Linked DNA regions of Tamandua tetradactyla. The protein of the gene in region 2 binds, or shares a complex with, the protein of the main gene of each other region. Links are inferred from orthologs where the notes say so. Each region holds a gene or a part of one and is shown on either strand. Other genes may lie near its edges.

Region 1 (7,491 bases), on a different chromosome or scaffold from region 2:
CTTTGGGAGACTCAAAAAATAAAAAAACCCACAATGTAAAATGATCTATAGTTTTTGAATAATGAATGAGGATTTGTCATGAAAATTGTTTGCATAAGTTTACACACTGGGCAAACTTAATAGATTGTGCCTGTGTCAGCATTTCTATTTTTCCCTGAAAGGTTTATTTATTTGACTAATGGTTTCTATATTCCTGTAAGATAAATTATTATTATATCAAAACAATCCAGCCACTCTGGGAAAGGTATACATTCTCCTAAGTTTACTCTTCTGCATAAGCTTTGGTATGTTAACCATCTCTAAGGGGAATATATATATACACATATACATATAAACCAAAAATGTCAAAACTGTTTATTGTTCTGAATATACACAATACTTTGTCTATTCAGTAAAGGTTTATTGAGCACTTACTCTATATCACACACTAAGATCTGTTTTGAGATATATTATAAATATTTTTAAAATCCCCATCTTCAGTTGAACACAGTTTGTTTCTGATTTGAATTCACTCCTCATGTATGTGTGTGTATAAGTTTAATGATAGTTGTGAAGGGTAGTAGAAATAGGAAATTTTGTAACACTGGTGAAACTAAAGGTCAAGAGATTTATTAAAAGGAATAAATATCCCTTCTAGGGTTTATGATTCACACTCAGGGTGAAGATTCAATAAGATCAAGGTAAACGAAAACATTTTAAGTATTTTCCCCTTTATGAATGTACAATGCACAATAATTTTAAATGTTCAAACAGACACATTAAGGAAAATTGAGTGCATGGAAATAATTCTGCTAGCAAAAGTGAGGTTGAAGTACAATTTCTCTACTTTTGTTCCATAAATTATGGCATAAACTTTCCTGTGTACTGCTTTGTCTCCAGAACAGTAACGTTATTTGGTTTTTTGTTTCATTTGGGTAGTTTTTTATTAGAGAAGTTGTGAGTTGCAGAAAAATCATGCATGAAATACAGGGTTCCCATATGACACCTGGGTAAGTGTGGAATGTTTGCTACAATTGATGAAAACACATTTTTAACTGTCCTATTAACTATTACCCATGGTTTAATTCTAGTTCACTGTGTTGTCAAGTTCCAGGGATTTTTTTTTAACTTCATTCTAGTAACATATATACAACCTAAAATGCCTCCCTTTAATCATATTCAGATACATGATTCAATGCTGTTAATTACAGTCACAATGTTCTGCTACCATGAACACCATCCCTTACCTTAACTATTTCATTACCTCAGATAGAAATTCTGTACATTTTAAGACAACATCCTGTTCCCTACCCCCACCCCACTCCTAGTCATGTATATTCTAGATTCTGACCCTATGAATTCCCTTTTTCTAGTCATTTCATATCAATAAGATCATACAATAGTTGTCCTTTTGTGCCTTGCTTATATTACTCAGCACGTCTTCAAGTTTCATCTACGTCAAGGCTTTATCTGAACTTCATTCTTTTTTTTACGGTTGAATAATATTCCATTACATGTATATAACAAATTTTTCTTATTCGTTCTTTGGTCGATAGCCTCTCCAACACTTATTATTTTCCATTTTTTTAATAATAGCAATTTTAGTGGATATGAAATGGTATCTTATTGCAGTTGTGATTGCATTCTCCTGATGGCTAGTGATGATGAGAATTTTTAAATATGCTTTCTGGCTATTTGTATATCTTCTTTGAAGAAACGTCTATGTGAATCTTTTGCCCTTTATTTTTGCATGGGCAGGCACCGGGGATCAAACCCAGATCCCCAGCATGGCAGGCAAAGATTGCCCGCTAAACCACCATGGCCCGCCCTGCCCATTTTTAAATTGTTGTGTTTTTTTTTTGGTCTCTTTGTTGTTGAATTGAAGGATTTCTTTATATATTCCAGCTATTAAACCCTAATCAAATACGTCATTTGCAAATATTTTCTTCCATTATGTAGGTTGTCATTTTACACTTATGATAAAGTTCTTTGAAATGCAAAAGTTTTAAATTTTCTTCTTCCTGATCTTGAAGGGAAAGCTTTCAGGCTTTCACCATTGAGTAGAATGTTAAAAGTGTTTTTTCATACATGTCTTTTATCATGTTGAGGATGTTTCCTTCTATTCTTAGTTTTCTAAAGTATTTGTGTTAATAAGTGGTACTGGATTTTGTCAAATGCCTTTTCTGCCTCACCTGAGATGACTGCATGCTTTTTTAATTTCAGTCTGTGAATGTGGTGTATTACATTAATTGATTTTCTTATGTTGAACCACTTTTACATACCAGGGATAAATCCTCACTTGATCATGGTGTATAATTCTTACAGTGTGCTGTTGGATTTGGTTTGCTAGTATTTTATTAAGGATTTTTGCATCTATATTCATAAGAAATATTGGTCTGTAATTTTCTTTTTTTGTGGTGTCTTTATCTGACTTTGGCATGATGGTATTGTTAGCTCACAGAATGAGTTAGGAAGTGTTCCTCTTCTTCAATTTTTTAAAAGAGTTTGAGAAGGATTGGTGTTAATTATCCTTGGAATGTTTGGTAAAACTCACCAGTGAAGACTTCCGGTCCTGGGCTTTTGTTTGTTCAGAGGTTTTTGATGACTGATTCAATATCTTTACTAGTTATTAGTATTCGAGATCTTCTATTTCTTTTTTTTTACTTTTCATTTATTCATTTTTTTTTTTAACATGGGCAAGCGCCGGAAATCAAACCCAGGTCTCCAGCATGGCAGACAAGAACTCTGCCTGCTGAGCCACCGTGGCCCATCCAGAGATCTCCTATTTCTTTTTGAGTCAAAGTAGGTATTTTGTGTTTTTCCAGCAATTTGTCATTTCATCTAGGTTATCTAACGTGTCAGGGTATTGTTGTTCATAGTATCCTCTTATAGTCCTAATTTCAGTGGGATTGGTCACAGTGTCTCCTTTTATCATTTCTGATTTTAGTTATTTGTGCCCACTCTCTATTTTTCTTCACCATTCTACCTAAAGGTTTGTCAATTTTATTTATCTTTTCAAAGAACCAACTTTTGGTTTTGATGATTCTGTTTTTTTCAGTTTTCTGTTTCATTTGTCTCTGCTCTAATCTTTATTATTTCCTTCCTTCAGCACACTTTGGGTTTGCTCTTCTTTTCCTAGTGCTTCCAGTTTTGAAGTTGGGCCTCTACTTTGCAATCATCCTTCTTTTTTAATAGAAGCATTTAGAACTATAAATTTCCCTCTCAGCACTGCCTTTGCTGCATCCCCTAAGTTTTGGTATGTAGTATTTTATTTTCATTTGCCTCAAAACATTTCCACGTGTTTTTTTTATTTTCCATTTCTCCCCCTCTGTTATGATTTCTAGCTTCATTTCACTGTGTGGTAAAAGATGATGCAATGATGATTTCAATATTTTTTTGTATTTATTGACACTTGTTTTGCTCTCTAAGATAAGGTTGGTCCTGGAGAATGATCCATGAGCACTTAAGAAGACTGTGTGTCCTGCTGCTGTTGGATGTGTTCTACATATGTCTCTTAAGTAGAGTTGGTTTAGAGTATCATTCAAGTCTTGTATTTCCTTACTGACAACCTATCTAGATGTTCTCTCCATTATTGAAAGTAGTGTATTAATGTTTCCGGTTATTATAACCACATTTCTCCCTTCAAATCTGTTAGAATTAACTTCATATATTTTGAGGCTCTGCTCTTAGGTGCATATATTTTTAAATGTTTTTGTTTTCTTACTTAATTATGTCTTTTCAAACCGGCACTTATCCATTCTGCCAATCTCTGCCTTTTGAATGGAGAGTTTAATCCATTTATATTTAAAGTCACTATGATAAGGCAGGTCTTTCCTCTGTCATTTTACTATTTTGTCTTTGTAAGTCTAATACTTTGTTTGTCCCTCCATTTTCCATTAATGCCTAGTTTCATATTCATTATTATTATTTTTTACATTGTATGGTATCAAGTCCCTTCTTGTGTCTAGGGCATATTTTTTATATATTTTCCTCGTGGTTGGTTACCCATGGGGTTAAAATTTAATATGCTAAATATATAACAATCACATTTGATTTGATAACTTGACTTCAATAGCATACATATGATACTGTTTGATTTTAAGGCCTCACCTTAAAAAGTAAAAGTAACTTGATGTCATATGGTGAGAAGAGCAATGAACAAAAGAGAGAAAAAGAACCGTTTAGATACCTGAGACCCTTGCTTTTGATTTGCCTAAGTCTGTGGTTTGCAGAATGTTACCCACCCTAACTCATTCCTAACTAGTGTATATATTAAGCTCTTTGAAATGTGAGTATTATGGGAAGGATCGCAGTTGCTTTAAATTATAGAAGTTGGCAAGTGCCTGGGAGAAGGAGTGGGAGGTTGTTTAAACTGAGAAAGACAGTTGCAAAACTTCGTACAACAGCATGAGCTCCAAGCTTCAAAAGCATTCTCATGCTCAGACGAGTGCTTTATTTTTCACCAAGTTATTTTTGCATTGTTTTGAAGCAGCTTCAAATAATAAACACATATTTTTGCTTTAAATTTTTTAATGGTTTCTAAATTCATGGGACAGCCAAAACAAGAAAGCCTCATGTTTTGGAGGAAAGTTTGACATCAGGAATGCCTAGAAAAGGTAAGCTACCATTTTCGCTACATTTTTCTCTTTTTTCCTCCTGTTTGGCCTTCGTCAAATACATTTACTGGAAGAACTTAAGACAGCTTCTTGTAAGGAAATGAGGAACTTGTAGAAAGTATGTCAACAAATGATAAATCAGAAGTTGAAAAGCCTCAGCAGTAGTATTTCTCCTACTTTCTATTCTGCTTGATGCATGAACTTTTGTGAAATATTTTTAGCTATATGAAAAAAATGACATTTCTCTTAGAAAATAGGGGCAGGAGTTCCTCAAAATCTCTATCCCGTATAAACCCAACACTTGCCTGTGTGCTGATGGGCTAATTTATTGTCAAGTTCAGAGTCTTTATGTTTTCTTATTCCACTATATGTAATTCACCTTTCGGAGCTATGATTTTTGCATCAACTCGGAAATCTTTCCCATGGAAGATTTTAATATCATTCCAAAAATTCTCTTAAGCACGGTTACTGTCACTTCTTATAAACTTGCTTTGCAGATAGTGGTTTTGAATGTTAAATAAATCATTTGACTTTTCCATTGTAACTACACTGGAGGATATTATAGACATTATATATCTGGGAAGGGGGAGTGGGGGACGTTCACCTGAATGTTTGTTAGTTCGCGTTGCAATTGGCCGAAAATGTTGCTCTCTGAATAAGGTGGTTTTGCATTATCAATTGTGCCTCATAAACAGGTAGGGAGCAGAGAGGCTGTGACGTTTTCTTGTATTTCTACGCATCGGTTATACGAGAGGTATCTTGTGGTTTTAGGTGAAGAAGTGTATAAATGCATAAGCTGTTCCTATTTCCCTGAGAAAGTCCCTGTTATCAGCATTTCCATCTTTCGGAGGCAGAATCCCAGGTGCAAAAAAAAGATACCCGCAGAGATCTGCAAATTCTTCTAGCAGGCTGAGATTTTGTCAGAGACCCACATTCATTCTTCCTCGCACACATACGTATGTACTCACAGCCAGCCATTAAAAAACCCTGAGGGTTCTGTTACGCTTCAGAGGTTTGGGACATCCCAGGTGACTTCAATCTGCAAAACCTGCTTGTATAGAAACATGAGCAAACCAGCCCAACGGGACATGGGTGAAAATGGTGGGGTACAGCATGGGGGACGCTGCTCCCGGAATAGTGAGGGACAGGAAGGGCCGTGAAGGGCTGTGCCTTCCTTGCCATACTAGCTGTTTTTCGGCTTTTTGAATAATATTTCCTTCTGTGTCAAATTCTAGTTGCATAAAGTGGATTATTGTAGCTTCCTCTGCCTTTTCTGGTCTCAGTGGAAGGGGAGGGGTCAAGGTCAAAGAAGGATGTTAGTACAGAAAAGCAAGAAGACAGCTTGGTCTCTTCCTTGCAAGGTGGTGGACTTAGTTGCCTTTCTCCATCCACAGCTGTTAGTGGAAGAAGTGAGGGACCTGTAACAGCCAATTTATTGTCCTCCTTTCCCTGTCTTCTCTTTCTTCCTTTTCCCCTCCACTTCTAATGTGCCAGCCCAGAGAACATCAAGAGAGGGAGGAGCGGGTTGGACTGACAAAATTATTTCCATCTCCGCCTTCCTGGTCCTCTCGATGTCCCCCTGGGCAGCTGGGGAAGCCCCCACCATATTTGGAGGGGGGGTCCTCCAGGTCCCCACCCCATGACCTCATTGCAGGCAGCCGGAGCCAGGGGGGGTGGGATGGCCAGCGGTTGCATGGCGCCTGAGTGCACCCTGGGGACGGGTGTGGCTGGGAAATGCGCCGTGTGGCATGACGTGACTGCTGGGGTCTGGGGCACCCGACTCCCCATTTTGGGGCTCCATGGAGGCTGGCGGCAATGCTGGACGCCAGACCCAGACCAAGCCTCTCCTCTGGGCCAGAGAAGGCTTGAAAGAGGACAAAAACAAAAAGGCAATTAAGGTTGCTGATGAAGCCCCAAGCCAGCTGACTCATCGGAGGCACAGTCTCTCAGGGGCTTGGCAATGAAACCTGGATGAGGCGCTGGAAAGGACAGGTCACAGTTGACCCAGGAAGGACACTGATGGGACGCCCAACCTGACCTATGGGTGCCTTCTCATGTCGGAGGGGCCGAGGGAGACGAACATCTGCCGGGTGGAGGGAGGAAGAGTGTTAACTAATGAACTGCTGGGGAGAAGGGCAGCATGCAGTCTGCCTGGCTTTGGGGTGGGAAGGTGGTGAGTAAAAGTTGCAGGTCCCAGCTCCATAAACCAGGATCTGAAAAGCCTCCGGTCAGGAATCAATACCTGAGTAGGGGTCTTAGCTTCCTAGAGCTGTCGTAGCAAAATGCCACACACTGGGTAGCTTAAAACAACAGCCATGGACAGTCTCACAGTTATGGAAGCTAGAAGTCCCAAGCCAAGATATTGGGAGGTCCTGCTCCTTCTAAGATTGTAGGAAACGATTTGTTCCAGGTTCTGTCCTGGCTTCTGGCACTGGCTTGCAGGGAACCCGAATGGCATTCACTGCCTCTGCTGTCCCATGACATTCTCCCCTTGTCTCTGTGTCCAATTCTCCTCTTCTTATAAAGATTCCAGTCATATTGAATGAGGGCCATCCTAATCCAGTTTGGCCTCATCTTAACCGATAATATCTTGGGCCACCCCATTTCCAGATAAGATCGCATTGACAGAACCAAGGGTTAGAACTCAAATCTGTCATTTTGGGTGGATGCAATTCAACCCCTAACAAGGGGCTAAGAGAGAAACGTTATTTTTATCGCAGCAGCCCCTTTGGAGTGGCCACTCTGCACCAGTGTCCTTGGCAAAAACAGACCAAACACAAACAAGCAAAATCTGCATAAGCCAAAGACCAAATATAAACTACAGTCTAGAAAGGTTGGAGAGAACACAAAGGGGGGCGCTTTGCAAATCTGCCTGCTGAAATCAAAGCAACTTTCC
Region 2 (7,715 bases):
TCCCAATTATCCACTGAACAAAATGTGAAATCCAAGGCCATTTAAGGAAAGACCTCTGGTGTTTCTTTATACCCCTTTCTCCTGCCACACTTCCTACATTCTGCGCTCCAGGCACAGGAAACCACAGGCAGGCCCTCAAATATGTCAAATCCTGCCTCGACTTTGTCATTACAGACGTGCTCTTCTTCTTGAGAAATGCTCCTCCTCATCATCCATCTAACAAACTCCTAATTATCCTCTGACACTAAATGCAATGGTATGTTCTCCGGGTAACATTCTAACATCACAAGATAGTTAACTTCTTCTCTAAGTTCTCATGATGCCTTGATCTTCATACCTCTACCTGAGACCTGAATTGTGACTCAGGTAAAATGTGTCTATACTTTTCTGTGACCTGCTAGCTTTTCAAGGGTTAGGCTGGTGCTCTTTACTTCTCTGTACAGCTATTAAAAAAAAAAATTGTTAATGGTCTGGAGTCAGAAAACAGAGAGACCCAGGCCTGAGTTCTTGTTTTGCCACTTATTGAGTGACTGGCCTTGAGCAAGCAACTTAACTTCACTAAGCCCTGGTTTCCTTGCCCGGGAGATTAAAATGACACTTACCTCATTGCAAGGAGTAAATTAAATACTGTAAAGCAAAGGGATGAGTACACTGGCTAGCAGCACACTGCAGGTACTCAAGAAATTACTTTATGCCCATTATATTAAAAACAAGCAAATAATTTCATAATAAGTAAAATACATAATTAAGTAAATTATATATTTATATCACTATTTACTATTATTAAATGGCATAATACACAGTGGAATTAATCAAGACTGATATTATTTAACGGTAATGCAACTATATTATAGAAATAATTGTCTCTAAATGTTACTTTATGTGTACTACAGAACTAATGACTAATATTTAATTAGTAACATTATCTGCAAAAATAAAGTCAGACGTAAAAAGACATCCCTAAACCTTATAGACAGCATTATCTTAAATCTGCTTCATCACAAACCTTTTTTAGAAAAGCGGTTTTGAGACATTAAGAAGTAAAAGTAACTGCATTGTTTCGTCTTAATTTAACTTTCCCTGTCCACCTGATTATTATTAGGCTAACCCCCACCCCCCATAACTTCCAGGAAGCCCCTTGCAAAACCAAACCTGCCCCAGCCCACATGGCAGTTGTATGAGTGTCCTTGCAACCCCCTCTGGCAGCTGTATTCCAGCCATGCTTCCCTTATCCAACCTCCGCCTTCAGGCAGTTACAGCCCCAGTAGCTACAATCTTACATTAGCTCGCTTATCCACCACCACCCCCTCCTGGAAGATAAAGCCGCAGCAGCTACAAGCTCGCAATAACTCCGTACTTAAGCTGCCAATTTCGTACAACCAAGCTAGACGGTGAAAATCCACCACCTCCCTAGCGCCTATATAACCTATACCCCTTCCCCTGCTCAAGGTTGTCACCATCATAAGCGTCAGCCCACCAGCGCACAGCCTCACAATAAAGCTCTTTTATCCAGTTTTAGTCTCTTCTCCCTACCAGCTGAGAAACCTACCAATTATCAGTTAATACGTGAATACAAAGCAAGGGAAGAAAAGGTAGAGAGGCTTGGAAAAATTTAGTCCTTAACCAAATTTTGTATCAAAGAAAAAAAAAACCCTGTATAAATAATTCAATCAATAAATCACCAACTCTCCATAAAGCACCAGTATTCTAAATATGTTTTTAAAACCCTTTTAGTATGAGTTTTTTGTAAATATTAAACATTTTCCCCAATGTCCACGTAACTTGCATTCCTCTTGCTGAAAGCTCAAGCGATAGCAGCAATCATTAATGCAACAGGTGAAAAACCTGTTATCATCTTTCTCAAAAAAGGTAAAGCCATATACCCGTCTGTGGATGTTTTCACTGTACTGTTGAGACGCAACACAAATATTTTGTAGCGATTCCTAGAGTATACGTGTCTATTTCTATATATTTCTAAACAATTCCATGAACATAATTGAACTTTCTTTTCAACTGTAACTCATGGATTACCTTTTCTCAGATGCGATTTCACAGGTTCAAGACTCAGCATCAGGCTGACGCTATTTAAAAAAGAAATAGAATACTCAGTGCGCATCTGATTTCAAGGCTTTGAAACCGGAATCCCGGACAGCAAAGGCCGAGCCGCGCAGCGAGCGCGGGGAAGCACGCAGGGCAGCCGGCAGGTCCCTCCTTCACCGACCCCGGCCTCCCCGCGGCCACCCCCGCCCATCCGGCTGCCCCGAAAGGTCCGCCGGGCCGAACGCCCGCAGCGTACTCACGCAGAGGAGGGCGCGGACAGCCCGTCCCTCCCGAGCCCACCCCCGGTGCTGCCAGGCGGCTCCCCGCGCCCAGTGGGCCCGGCCGGGCGGGAGTCAGCGGCGGCCGCAAGGGACCCGGACTCTGCCAGCGGCTGATGCTGCGGTGCGGGCCGCGCGCCGCCGCTGACGTCAGCACTGCCTACGCCGCCGTCCCCATGACAACCGGCTGGGCCCGCGAGCCCAGCCGGGACCGCAGCCTGCCCTCGACACCCCCTCGGGTCTGGGGCCTCGCCCGGAGGCGCTGCTGATCGGCGTCTGCGCAGACAGGACGCGCGCGCCCGCGAGCCTTCAGAAGGCCGCGGATTGCGGGCACGCGCCCCGTGGTGCCCTCACCTGAGGAACGCTCTGCCGGCCTCAGGGCGCCGCAAACGCCGGGAGAAAGACGCGGGAGGGGGAGCGGGGAGGCTGGGCCGGAGACCGCCGAGGACAAGGAGGACCATGAATGAGGCAAAAGCAGACTTGTCGCCCCCTCGCATTCGCTTCCCCGGAATGAAACACGCGTTTAGAGCGTCGAGAATGAAGAGTTGCACTACAGGAAAAAATCAGAGAAAAAAGTATCCACCATCCGTCTAGCCCTGAGCCATCCCATTTTGTGTTTCATGCAGAGGAAAACGTCGTCTTTTCCACAACGCCCCCTTCCCTGCTCCTCTTTCTGCCGCGGGCGCCATCTTTGGCTGAGTCACCCGGGCTGGAGACGAGTCGCGCCTCAACTCTTGCGTGAAGAGGCCGTTTTCCGCAGCCGTAGGCGGGCGCTGCAACCTATGGCATCTTTGTAGTGAGACAAGGTGGAGCATATTTGTGTGGAGGCCCGACTTTCCCTTCCCCTTGGCACCACCACATCTAACAAAGCGTATCTCACTTGTTCCAAACAGTGAGGCAGGAGAGAAGAAACACTGCCAATCCAACGTGTCCCAACGTGGGACTCTCCATCTTTCCCCTCAAAATCTGCTCCCTTCTGGGTTTTTTGCTTGATCAGGGCACCATCGTCTTCCCAGCGTGGTGCTGATGATTAGTGTTACCATCGCCAGTAATGGGACAAACCAGCGTGGTGTGCAACCTGCAGAGAGCACAGAGAACGCCCTCGAGGGATATTTCTGCCCCAAATGCACAACCTGAATCTAATCACGAGGAAATGTCAGACCGAATTTGCGGAAAATTGCACAGAAGTCTTCAAAAGTGTCAAGGTCGGAAAGAAACAGAACAATGAAAAAACGTTTCAGACTGCAGGGAGACGGGACAGCGTGATGGATCCTTTCCGGATCCTTTTCCTAAATTGAATCTTTTTTACGACAGAGGACATTATTGGAACATCTGTCAAATTTTGAATAGGGTCTGTGGATTAGATGCTTGTTTTTTTTAACCAGTTAAAATTCCTAATTTTGATAACTACACTCTAGTAATGAAGAAGCTATCCTTGTTTTTAGAAAGTATACAGAGAACTATTTAAAGGTCTGCAACCTCCGTTAAAAGCGTTCAGGAAAAATGTATATATAAATAATAGCAATAAATAAAAATATAAATTATATATATGGAGAGGGAGAGACAATGATATCAAGAATGTGTTAAATCAAAAATTGTGGAACTTGACAAAGGTGGAAGTTCTTTATATTATTCTTGCAAGTGTTTTGTAACTTTAAAATGATTTTTAAATATTGAAAAAAGATTGAGGTAAAGGTACTCAAGTTTCTGCTTCAGATAACTGGATGGGGGATGCTAATTAATTAAGAGTGGAAAATCAGGACAAAGGCAGATTTGGAGTAAAAGAAAGATGTTAGGAAAATCACAGACAGCTGTTAAGTGGAGGTCATCCCTCAGACCCTACCTACCCCTGCTGCCTTCTCTGGAGAAGTTACTCAAGCTAAGCAGCCATTCTCTACCCCGTTTTTTATTCTGTGCCCTTCCACAGTCTGGGGTAGATGTTCTTGCTAATGAAAAGGCCCTGCCAGACCTTAAACCTGGAAATCAGTAACAAGCAGCCCCAGATGCTTATCAGAACAGGAATCTCAGTGGCAGGGCCCCTTACCCCTCCGTGGATGCAAGCCAGGCTCAGACTTGATTTCTTTTCTCCAGTGCCAAGTGGGACTTGGAAGGTACCATGTATGAATCCCGGAGCAATTTTCATTCACCCCAGGCCCTGATGGGATTTCTTCCTCTGCTCCTTAGGACTATGTAAATGACAAGGCAATTTGCCCTTTCTGGATCTTTTATTCTGTATACTGCAGAGCTCATTTGCTGGAAGTTTCAGTTGTGCCCTGACCTGTGTTCCCACGGTGCACCAAAATAATAATTCGCTCCACAAAATACTGTCCTAGAAGAGTCAAGTAATTAAGAGGTGATCGTGGTCCAATAATAATTAAGCTGGCTCCCCAGCTATGAAAAAAATTAGGTATGTATGCAAATTGAAATGTTAAGGAATAAAGTAGATTCAGAATATTCAAAACATTTAATAAATAATACTCAATTTGTTTTATAAAAAATGTAATTGATTTTCACAATTTATAATCCTGATGCCAGAGAGTCCCAGGAACTCTCAGAAATTGAGACTTCACCCAAGAGCTGGCAACATGAGAGTTCTTAACTCAGTTGCAGGAAAGAATTCTAGGAGTTGTTAGTGTGTACAGCCAAAGAATCCAAAGACTAACTAGTGTTTATAGGTCAAAACTTAATTGCGTAGCAAAAGTACACACTCTTAAGGAAGATGAGTGTGGCATTCTCCAAAGGAGGAGAATCCCTCTGAGGTCAGGACTTGTAGGGGCCTTGCCCACTTCTTGTGTGTATATATATATATGGGGGGGAGGGTCTAGATAGGTGTGTAGGTACCTAAAGAAATTTTTTGTTTCAGGTTTTAGGGTCACTTCCTCCTCCCTCCTCCCCTGTCTAACCTGCCTCAACCCAGTACACATTTGCATTAACCAATCAAAACAGATGTTGGGGACCCCCTCCGGGCGGTGCAGCGCCGCAGCCGCGAGCTGAAGCAGCAGGTTGATACTTTGCTTTCTGAGATCCAGTTGACAGAAACTCTAGAAGCCAATAAAAGGCGAGATATTTACCAAAGATGTATCCAGTTGAAACATGCAATCGATGAAAATAAAAATGCTCTTCAAAAATTAAACAAAGCTGATGAACCTGCACCTGTGGGGAACTATCATCAGAAAAAAAATGAGGAGCATAACCTTTTGGATAAGCTCACCCACCAACTGCAGGAACTTGCTGTGGCCATAAATCGAGAAAACTTGACTGAAATTGGAGCACTTACTGAAAGAGAGGAAGATGACAATTCTGCTGAAGAAGACGAAGATGAAGAAAGTGAAGAAAATGATGGGGAGGAAGAAGAGGAGAAAGAGGAAATGAGTCCCAGCAACAGGCAGCAAGTCAAGAATATGTTGCTATTGGAGATTTTGCTGCTCAGCAAGTTGGGGATCTTACATTCCAGAAAGAGGAAGTTCTCCTTATAATTGAAAAGAAACCTGATGGTTGGTGGATAGCCAGGAATGCCGAAGGAAATGAAGGTCTCATTCCCAGAACCTACCTGGAGGACTGGCGTGTGTGTGGGCTGGCTCCCACACCAGGTGGACAGCGTGTCCTGTCTCGCGGGTGTTCTCAGCCCTGTGATGAAGAAGAAGGCCAGGAATCGAGTGACGAAGGCAGTGGAGAAGACGTGGAGGGGGCAGATGAGACAGCAGGTGGAGTGGAAGGTAAACAGAGAACTGATTCTCATTGGAGTGCTGTTCAAAAAGCTATCTCAGGGGAGGGCCGCGGTGGCTCAGCGGGCAAAGTGCTTGCCTGCTATGCCGGAGGACCTCGGTTCGATTCCCGGCCCCAGCCCATGTAACAAAAACGGAGAAACAGAATACAATAAAACAAGAAAATGTTTAAAAATGTTTCCCTTTCTTCCTTCCTTCCTTCTCTCTGTCTTTCCTTTAAAAAAAAAAAAAAAAAAAGCTATCTCAGAGCAGATAAGCACTGTTGATGCGCTGACCACACTGGGCGCCATCCCTGCGGGGTTCAGGCCATCCACGCTCTCCCGGCTCCTGGATGAAGGAACTCAATTTCGAGCAAGTTATTTCTTACAACCAGAGCTCACCGCTTCACAGCTGGCATTCAAGGACCTAGCGTGGGATGCTGACGCAGGCACCATTAGGTCAAGACCAAGCCGTGCCTCACTGATTCTGACCCTGTGGAGCTGTAAGATGGTCCCTCTCCCCGGAGCAAGCGTGCAGGTCCTCAGCAGGCAGGTGCGCCTCTGCCTCTTTGACGGCGAGAAGGTTCTGAGCAACATTCACACCGTCAGGGCCACGTGGCAGCCCAAGAAGCCCCGCTCCTGGACCTTCTCCCTGCAGGTTACTGGCATCTTGCCATGCTTGCTTGATGGAGATTGTTTTGTCAGGTCCAATTCTTCATCTCCAAATCTTGGAATACTGTTTGAACTTGGAATTTCTTATATTCGCAATTCAACTGGAGGAAGAGGAGAGTTGAGTTGTGGCTGGGTGTTTCTCAGACTTTAATGACAGTGGAGTTCCTATTCCAGCAAAAACTTACGAGCTCATCTTGAATGGCGGCACCCCTTATGAAAAAGGGGTTGAAGTAGACCCTTCAATATCCAGAAGAGCACATGGCAGTGTTTTCCACCAGATGATGACAATGAGAAGGCAGCCTCAACTCCTGGTAAAGCTGAGGTCTTTAAGCCAAAGGTCAAGAAACATATTAAGTCTCCTGCCAGAAACATTGATTGGGAGCATGTGCTGCAGCCACCTGTTGGTCTTCTACCATCAAGTCCTCGGAGACGTGCTCCTGAGAGGCAGGACCTCCTGTGCTGGCCACCTTTCCCAGGCTCCTGGAGCAGCCTGACCTCATGGACGCCCTCAGGAGTGCATGGGCTGAGAAAGAAAGCATGCTAAAAAGATCAGAGAAGAGAGACAGAGAGTTCCTGAAAGCCACGTTCCTCCTGGTCTACCACGACTGCGCGTACCCGCTGCTGCACTCCACACGGCTGCCCGCGCCCAGGTGGGCCGAGGAAGAGACGGAGGCGGCACGGTGGCGGGCCATCGCCAGCTTCCTGCAGCAGGAGCAGGGCAGTGACGGCGCCCTCCGGGCCCTGCTGTCGCCAGGAGCCCATCCTGCTTTCACCCTCTCAGAGCAGACCTACGACTTCTTAGGGGAGACCAGAAAGAACGCAGCCTGACCCTGGGTGGGCACGATGCGCCACTCCCACGGAACCTTCTGGAAACACAAGTAACTCACATTCGGATTCAGGTTTTCCTCTTTTTTTGGTACAGGACATATTTTGTCAGAAATATTATCCAATAATTTGAGTATGTTTTTAAACAAAGTTAATTTTTAAAAGAAATATGTACAGTTATCTCTAAATTTAAAGAG
Region 3 (7,237 bases), on a different chromosome or scaffold from region 2:
CTGTTCCAAACTCTACCTTCTCTGTCTCACCTCATGATGCATGGAAGAAGTTCAGTGACTGCTTCTCCCCCATTTGCAATGTGCAAGCCTATCACTACAGATGCTGATCCATGCCAGCTTTGCCAGGGCCACCAGCAGGCAGAGAAGGGAGCAGAAGACACACCATCTGCAGATTGTGCCCACTCAATCAAGTTTGGCTGCCAGCAGCACACAGCAGTTTCTGGGCTAGCTACTTGTTTCCCCATAACAGGCTTCTTATTAATACACAGAACTCACTGAGGCTAGTAAGTAAGGGAGGCAAAAGAGAAGGATGCGATGGGACCTTGGAAAGAAAAATACCTCTTCTAGGTTGGTGTATCTATCAGAATCAGTATAGGTAAAGATTCGTCGATTTTTCCTGCCGCCTGAATTCTCCAGCTGCAGTATCTCTTGACGGTACTGGTGATCCAAAGGGCTCTGGCAGGCTGCTTCATTTTGGTACAAATCTATCTCAAACTGAGGTCACCAAAAGAAAACAGAGTTTACTGAGAGTACTTCTAACTGTGGTTCTTATCACTTTCTAACTAAACCAGTTCTATAGAACAAATGCTATTTGACATGTTTTCATAACCAACTCTCACTCATCCAGGCTAACAGAGAGCAGGGTATTCAAAGAATGTTAAGAAGTAAGAAGAATAAGAGTAACAGTCTAATCCAACTTCCCTGTTATAGAGTGCACCTGGCCCAGAGGTGAAAAGTGCTTTACCCAAGATCATAAAACTGGCTAGTGGCAGTCAGGATTTGACGCAAGTCTACCTGAACTCAAAGCCAGGGCTATTTTTCACTATGTTCTATTGCCCCTGTACTACAAGGCAAAGTATAAATGGTTACAGTCTTTCTGGAAATCAGTTTAGTGATATGTATCAAGAATCTCCAAACTAATACTTTCATCTAGTTATGTTACTTCTAAGAATCTAATTTGAGAAAATAACCAGAGTAAAACAGGGTCTAATACAAAAATATTCACTGAAATAGTTTAAAATTAGTGACATGGGGTGGTAGAATGGTGGGTCAGTGGCAGAATTCTCGCCTGCCATGCCGGAGACCTGGGTTCATTTCCCAGTGCCTGCCCATGTTCAAAAATAAATAAATAAATAAATAAATAAATAAATAAATAAATAATAAATAAATAAATAATGACATGGGTCTAGGGCACCTTTATGGCAACAGCCCTCTCTTTCAAAGTTGGGGTTTTTTTTCCCTGCAGTCATCCAAGTGGAAATGGACCAAGTGGAGGAAGATTCAGTGGACAAGTCACACTGGCTTACCTGGCTAAACAGTTTCTCCTGCCAACCAATCACCACCTCCTCCTCTTCATCTTCATCCGGACGGTGTCCACCTTCAAAGATAACAGACCGAGTCAACTGCTGAAGCCAAACCAGGACCACTTCTTACTCCTCTGATGGTTATAATCAAAGTCCCTGCTCTTATGTCTGGCTCAAAAATAGCTGGAATTCGATGGTTTTTTTAGCACTGACTCTAGACAGAAACTAGAGAGGTTATGCATGGGCTCTGTTTAGTATGTGCAAAAGCCAGAATTAAAACCGAAGAAGTCTTAAATACTGTTCTAATTTGAGTTAAAGGTAGCCCTGCCTTCCAGGAATCATTTAATCTAACTCAGTATAAGGGGCTGAAATTTAGATAAAGGATGACAGCCCTTCCTTAATCTCAACTGTCTATATTTACTAAAAAGGAACACTGAAGCCATCTATGTAGAAGCATAAAATTTTTAAAAGACCCAAATCTAACCCACTCCTGGCTGAGCGTGCCTTTTTCAGAAACACATACTTCACACCCCTCCAGCCCATATGTTTTCTGGGAATATTTTTTAACAGAAACAGAAACATGATAAAACCAGAGAGACTAGTAACCTTACACAAGCACACTGTGCTTTCTTCCTCAACTCTTCTGGATTCCCAGACAAGGAAAAGCACAACAGCACTGTCGATGTTAACATGTGCATTCTTCAAGCAATCCTCAACTTTAAAATGGTCTAACAAAGCATTCACATCATTTAGAGTTCGGAACATATCTTCTCTTAGGGGAAAAATGGTATTAAAGTTGTCATTTCTTCAACATTTCTAAAGTATGGCTTTGTTATTTTACTACATTTGACCACAATTCAGATCAATGTCTCAATGGCAGGAATCATGGCTTATTCAATTTTCATACACAACCTAGTGTAGTAGTTAAAACTGCCTGGGCAAGGAACCCAACTTCTCTGTACTGCAGTTGCCTAGTCTGAAAAAGGTGATTTCTCTCACACTCACACATAAACCTGAGTGTGCTCCATCTTAAAAGTAACTCTACCACAACAGGTTCTTCCCCAGATTCCCAGGAGGCCACATCACCACCAAAACACTCACTGGCGCTCGGGTGGGGCCTAAAAGTTGCCAAGTCTATGAGGTCCTTCCCAGGCTGGGCAGCAGGCTGGTACTGGAAAAAGGTGCTTGATGTGATTCTTTGCAGGTGGACGCTGTCAGGAAAAGAGAGGCCCAAAACACGCGTTACAAGACACACAACCAGAACTGAACACAGCAAGGATAGTGGGGGGAAAAGCAGAGGGCAGGGCTGCTAAGGTGCTCTGGGTGCAGGCCACTAAGGGGAAGTCGGTAGGGCGCGGGTGCTGACGAATCTGGGTGGGGAAGGAACTTAAGAGGAGGTCTTTAAGCGGAGAGGCGTCCTGAGAGGCAGCGTGATGCTGGGAGGCCGAGGAGGGTGTGTGTGGTCGGGTTTGAAAACGGAAGTCGGGGAGTCAGAAAAGCGAGAAAAGAAGTCAGGCTCGAATTATTTGGGGGGCGGGAGAGGGGAGCACAGGACTCCATGCCAAGGCGGTGCGACTACCGGAGGCGCAAGTTGCGCACGGGGTCGCGGGAACGATACACGGCCTCCGCAGTGTCAGGACTCCAGACGGTCTCCGCCATGACCGCAGAGTAGCGCCGCGCCACGACAGCGCCGGAAAGCGCGCCGCCCAGGTTTCCCTAGTAACGAAGACGCTGGATTCGCGGGGACACCCAGGCGCTGCGTGCGCAATCCGCGCAATCCCGGTGCGGCCCCGCAGCCCGCCCGCCCGCCGGCCCGTGCAGTCCCGGCGCAGCCGAACGCCTAAGGCGGTCCACGGCAGCGTCTCACCTGGTCAGCGTATGAACAAAGCTCACTCATACCCAAGGCCGGACTTGATGCATTTACAAATAAAGAAACCGGCCCAACCATCAGCTCGTTTCATATAGATGAAGAATGGTGATAGGGACTCAGGTGGCCCACGCCCATTATCTCCATTCTGCCACACCGCCTTCCACTGAACGTTAAAACTTTGGCCTGAAAACTGATGAACGTGAATCAAAGAAAGCACCCACTCTTTCCAAAGGAGTCAGGGAAGATGATTGGCACTTACCCACAATCGAAACTATATCCTTGGAGAGGAAAATAAGGTGGTGTCCATTCATTAGTCGTTGCATTGGCATTCACTAAGCGAGAGAAAGAAAAAACAAGGAAGTCAACAGTAAGGAAGGGGGAAATGTTATTAGTGAACAGATTCTTCCCCTGTGTATGTTAGTTCTGGGTCATTAAGCCACCTTAGAAACTGCACTGGCGTCCTGAAAGACCAACAAAGTGCCATTCAGGAGACATGCTTCATTGAACTAGCATAGGCAGGACACACCATAACCTTGAGTCTAGCTCCCTGGCACCTTGGGGATATCAACATTTATTAGTCTTTGACATCTGGTACTCTCCCAACAGAGTAAGCAATTGTCTCCTCAACTCATATCTCATGCCATTTGATTATATGGCTCTGGGAATTCTGGGGCACCATAACCCCTGTTATGTACCTTGTATGCATTGTCCCAAATCCTCATAGAAACTCTTCAAGTAGGTATTCCCAATTAACAGATGAAGCCAATGAAGTCCAGGGAATTATAGGTCTTAGTAAGGTTGTACTACTAGTGAGTGGTAAAGGAGCTAGGATTCCAGGCCAAGTTTATCTTTTTCTGAAACCCGAACACCTTACACTGCACTTCAAAGGCTCTCACCGATCAGTTTGCTCCATGAGAGAGAGAACACAGTTTCCAGTCTGGTAAGTAATTATTTCAACAGATGAAACATGGAGGCAGAATACTAGTTCTTAAGAAACGTTCACTCTAAATTTTCCTTTCACAGTTGTGAATAAACAATTTAATGTTATAACCAAATTGAATGCACACAAAGTCAATCTGACATAGTTGTATGCAAAATAGTAAATATACTACATGGTATGGAAATTTAAGCTCTTTATATAAGGGACTAAAATTAGTATTATTCTTATACAGGTAAACTATATTTTTCATGCTTTTTTCTTTTTCACTGGTACATATGAATCAGGAATCCTTAAAATGAGGGTCTCTAAGTAGAGTTCAAGGAATCTGTGAACCCCTTTCTTAGAATTTAGTGAGGGACATTTTCTGGAAAGAGTTCATGATTTTTATCAGATTCTGGAAAGAATTTATACCCTGATATCAAGAATGGTCCTACTACATTCATATTCTAACATCTTGTTTCATATGAAAGGTTTGGACTATGCAGCATAAAGGCCAAAATTCCATGTTCCATCATCCATAAGCCTTCAACCCCACCCCACCTCTGTGGTTCAGAGTTGATATCCACTGTGTTCTCCCTGAAATAACATCAGCATCTGTATAAATTGCTTTGTCTAGAAAACACTTGCACATATACTATTTCATTTTATCTTTACAGACTTTATAGATATTCTTGTCTCCCTTTTATGTATTTGTAAACCAAGACATTAATTGAATTTCCCACAGTTGCCATGACAAGGGGGCGTAGAGTCTAGCTTACATCTTGGACTCAAACCTATGGGCTTTCCTTTGAACAGTGCTCCCTCCTTAAATCTACTCCCATCCCCAGCTCCTTCCCAAATTTTTATTTCCTAATCCAGGCCCATCTGAGCCACATCAGAACATTTACTACCTGATTTCTACACTTAATATAACTATATGGTGAACACTACAATGTGGTATTGGCATAAAGGTAGACATAAAGACCAATGGAACAGAAGAGAAGCCCAGAATAAATAGATATATATGTGGTTAATTGATTTTGACAAAGGTCCCAAAGGATTTCAATGGAGAAGGGATAGTCTTTTCAACAAATAATCCTGGGATGATTTACCATCCAGACATCAGGGAAACATTCATACACACACACACACACACACACCACAAAAAGCAAAAATCCTCAGCCCCTAACCTTGAGCAATTTAATAAATTACAGCAAAATTGATCAGAGATGTAAAAGTAAGAGCTAAAACTGTACGGCATCTAGGGTGCACAGGTGGTTCAGTGATAGAATGCTCGCCTTCCATGAGGAAGACCCAGGTTCGATTCCCAGACCATGCACCCCCACTCCCAACAACAGCAAAAAAACCTGTAAAACATCTAGACAAAAACATAGGAGAAATTTTTTGAGACCCTGAGCTGGGTAAATACTTCTTAGAACTCAGAAAGGACAAACTATGAAAGAAAAGATTAATAAATTGATCTTCATCAAAATGAAAAACTTCTGTTCTTTGAAAGACACTGTTAAGACAATGAAAATACAAGAAACAGACTGGGAAAAATATTCGCAAAACACATGCATATCTGATAAAGGACTTATATCCAGAATACATAAAGTCCTCTTAAAACTCAGTAATAATAAGGCAAACAATCTTATTATTTAAGTGGCCAAAATACTTTAACAGATACTTCATCAGAGTAGACATATAAATGGCCAATAAGTCCTTGAAAAGGTGTTCAACATTATCAGTCATCAGGGAAGTGCAAATTAAAACCACAATGGAATACCATTACGCACCTATTAAATTGGCTAAAATTTAAAAGATGGACAATACAAAGTGCTGAAAAGGATGTGGAACAACTAGAACTCTCATACAGGGTTGATCAGAATGCAAAATAGTACAACCATTTTGGAAAACTGGACATTTCTTATAAAGCTAAACATTTGCCTACCATATGATCCCCAGCAATTCCGCTCTTAAGTATTTACTCTAAAGAAGTGACAACATATGTTCACACAAAGACCTGTATGTAAACTTTATTCATCAATATTTATTTTATTCATCAAATAAATTTATCTACAATAATTTGTAAATATTGAAACAAATTGTACAATATTTATTTAATGGAATATACTCAACCTTAGAGACGAAAGAACTACTGACACATAAAGCAATATGCTAAGTGAAAGAAGCCAGATACAAAAGGCTATATATACTATATGATTTCTTTTATATGACATTCTAGAAAAGGACAAACTATAGAGATGGAGAACAGATCATTGGTTTGGAGATAGGGGTTGACTGTAAAGGAGCAGCTAACACTCTCAGCAGCTGGTAAAGAGGACCTGGGAATGAGACCAAAAGCATCTGCTACAAGTAACGCTCTGGGGAGGTGATCCAGGAAATGCTGGTTTGAGAAGGGGGAAGAAAGGAGGTAAGGAAACAAAGCCTAAAGTAGGCATTATCAATCAAGTTCCACTGAAGACACCCAGAGCTTCATCCCTTTGGGGAACTCTGGCAAATGGTGTAGAATAGGGATTCTCAAAGTGTATTCGTGGGTGAGGAGACATGGGCAGGGCACCAGCGGCATCTACCACAAATGTTATTCATAAATTATTTTACCATAATACAGAAACATCGTGGACCATTGAAGGCTTTGATTTTATGATCACAATCTGCAAGTAATATCCTTTTTGGGGGGAGGGGAGGGAGTGTAGGGTCCAGGAATGCAGGCAATATTCTTTTACATTCTATAGACTCCCTGTTCTATTCCCACCTTGGACTACAGTAAAGACAGAAAAAACTCAGGCCAACTTAGTGCACCAAGAGAGCGAGCATTGAGCATCCCACCATTTCCCAATCCCACTTACAGGCAGTGTGTCAACAAGTAGAACAGGTGGGACCACTATTATCACACGAACGTTACCGGAATCAGTAGGAGACCAAAATAGGTCAGCAATACCCAGAAGCTGAGCCTCTGAAGCAGTTTGCTTGTAAATCCCAGCCAGATCTCAAATGCCTTTTCCTAAGAAACATACTAAGCTTTTGATAATTAATTGCTTTTATCTTAGTCAGCTCCATTCTTCCCTACAGGTCCCAACAGGTTAGCCCATGTCTCCAGGGACATGTCCTGACATGGAGCAA

Evidence for each region.
Region 1: AHI1 (region 2) and CC2D2A share a complex: the UniProt entries of both Homo sapiens proteins name them as parts of the tectonic-like complex. The link is inferred for Tamandua tetradactyla from reciprocal best matches to the Homo sapiens genes AHI1 and CC2D2A.
Region 3: AHI1 (region 2) and MKS1 share a complex: the UniProt entries of both Homo sapiens proteins name them as parts of the tectonic-like complex. The link is inferred for Tamandua tetradactyla from reciprocal best matches to the Homo sapiens genes AHI1 and MKS1.

What each region holds. Positions count from the first base shown.
Region 1 is NC_135345.1:14,654,377-14,661,867, forward strand, and holds the start of CC2D2A (coiled-coil and C2 domain-containing protein 2A), read left to right. Parts: upstream 1-4,484; 5' UTR 4,485-4,582; coding exon of another isoform or gene 4,583-4,595; intron 4,596-7,491. UniProt on the Homo sapiens protein: Component of the tectonic-like complex, a complex localized at the transition zone of primary cilia and acting as a barrier that prevents diffusion of transmembrane proteins between the cilia and plasma membranes.
Region 2 is NC_135351.1:35,788,042-35,795,756, forward strand, and holds the start of AHI1 (jouberin), read right to left. Parts: upstream 3,020-7,715; 5' UTR 2,673-3,019; intron 2,461-2,672; exon of another isoform or gene 2,301-2,460; intron 2,082-2,300; 5' UTR 2,032-2,081; intron 1-2,031. UniProt on the Homo sapiens protein: Involved in vesicle trafficking and required for ciliogenesis, formation of primary non-motile cilium, and recruitment of RAB8A to the basal body of primary cilium.
Region 3 is NC_135332.1:39,209,176-39,216,412, forward strand, and holds the start of MKS1 (tectonic-like complex member MKS1), read right to left. Parts: upstream 3,008-7,237; 5' UTR 2,964-3,007; coding exon 2,884-2,963; intron 2,516-2,883; coding exon 2,406-2,515; intron 1,379-2,405; coding exon 1,308-1,378; intron 496-1,307; coding exon 340-495; intron 1-339. UniProt on the Homo sapiens protein: Component of the tectonic-like complex, a complex localized at the transition zone of primary cilia and acting as a barrier that prevents diffusion of transmembrane proteins between the cilia and plasma membranes.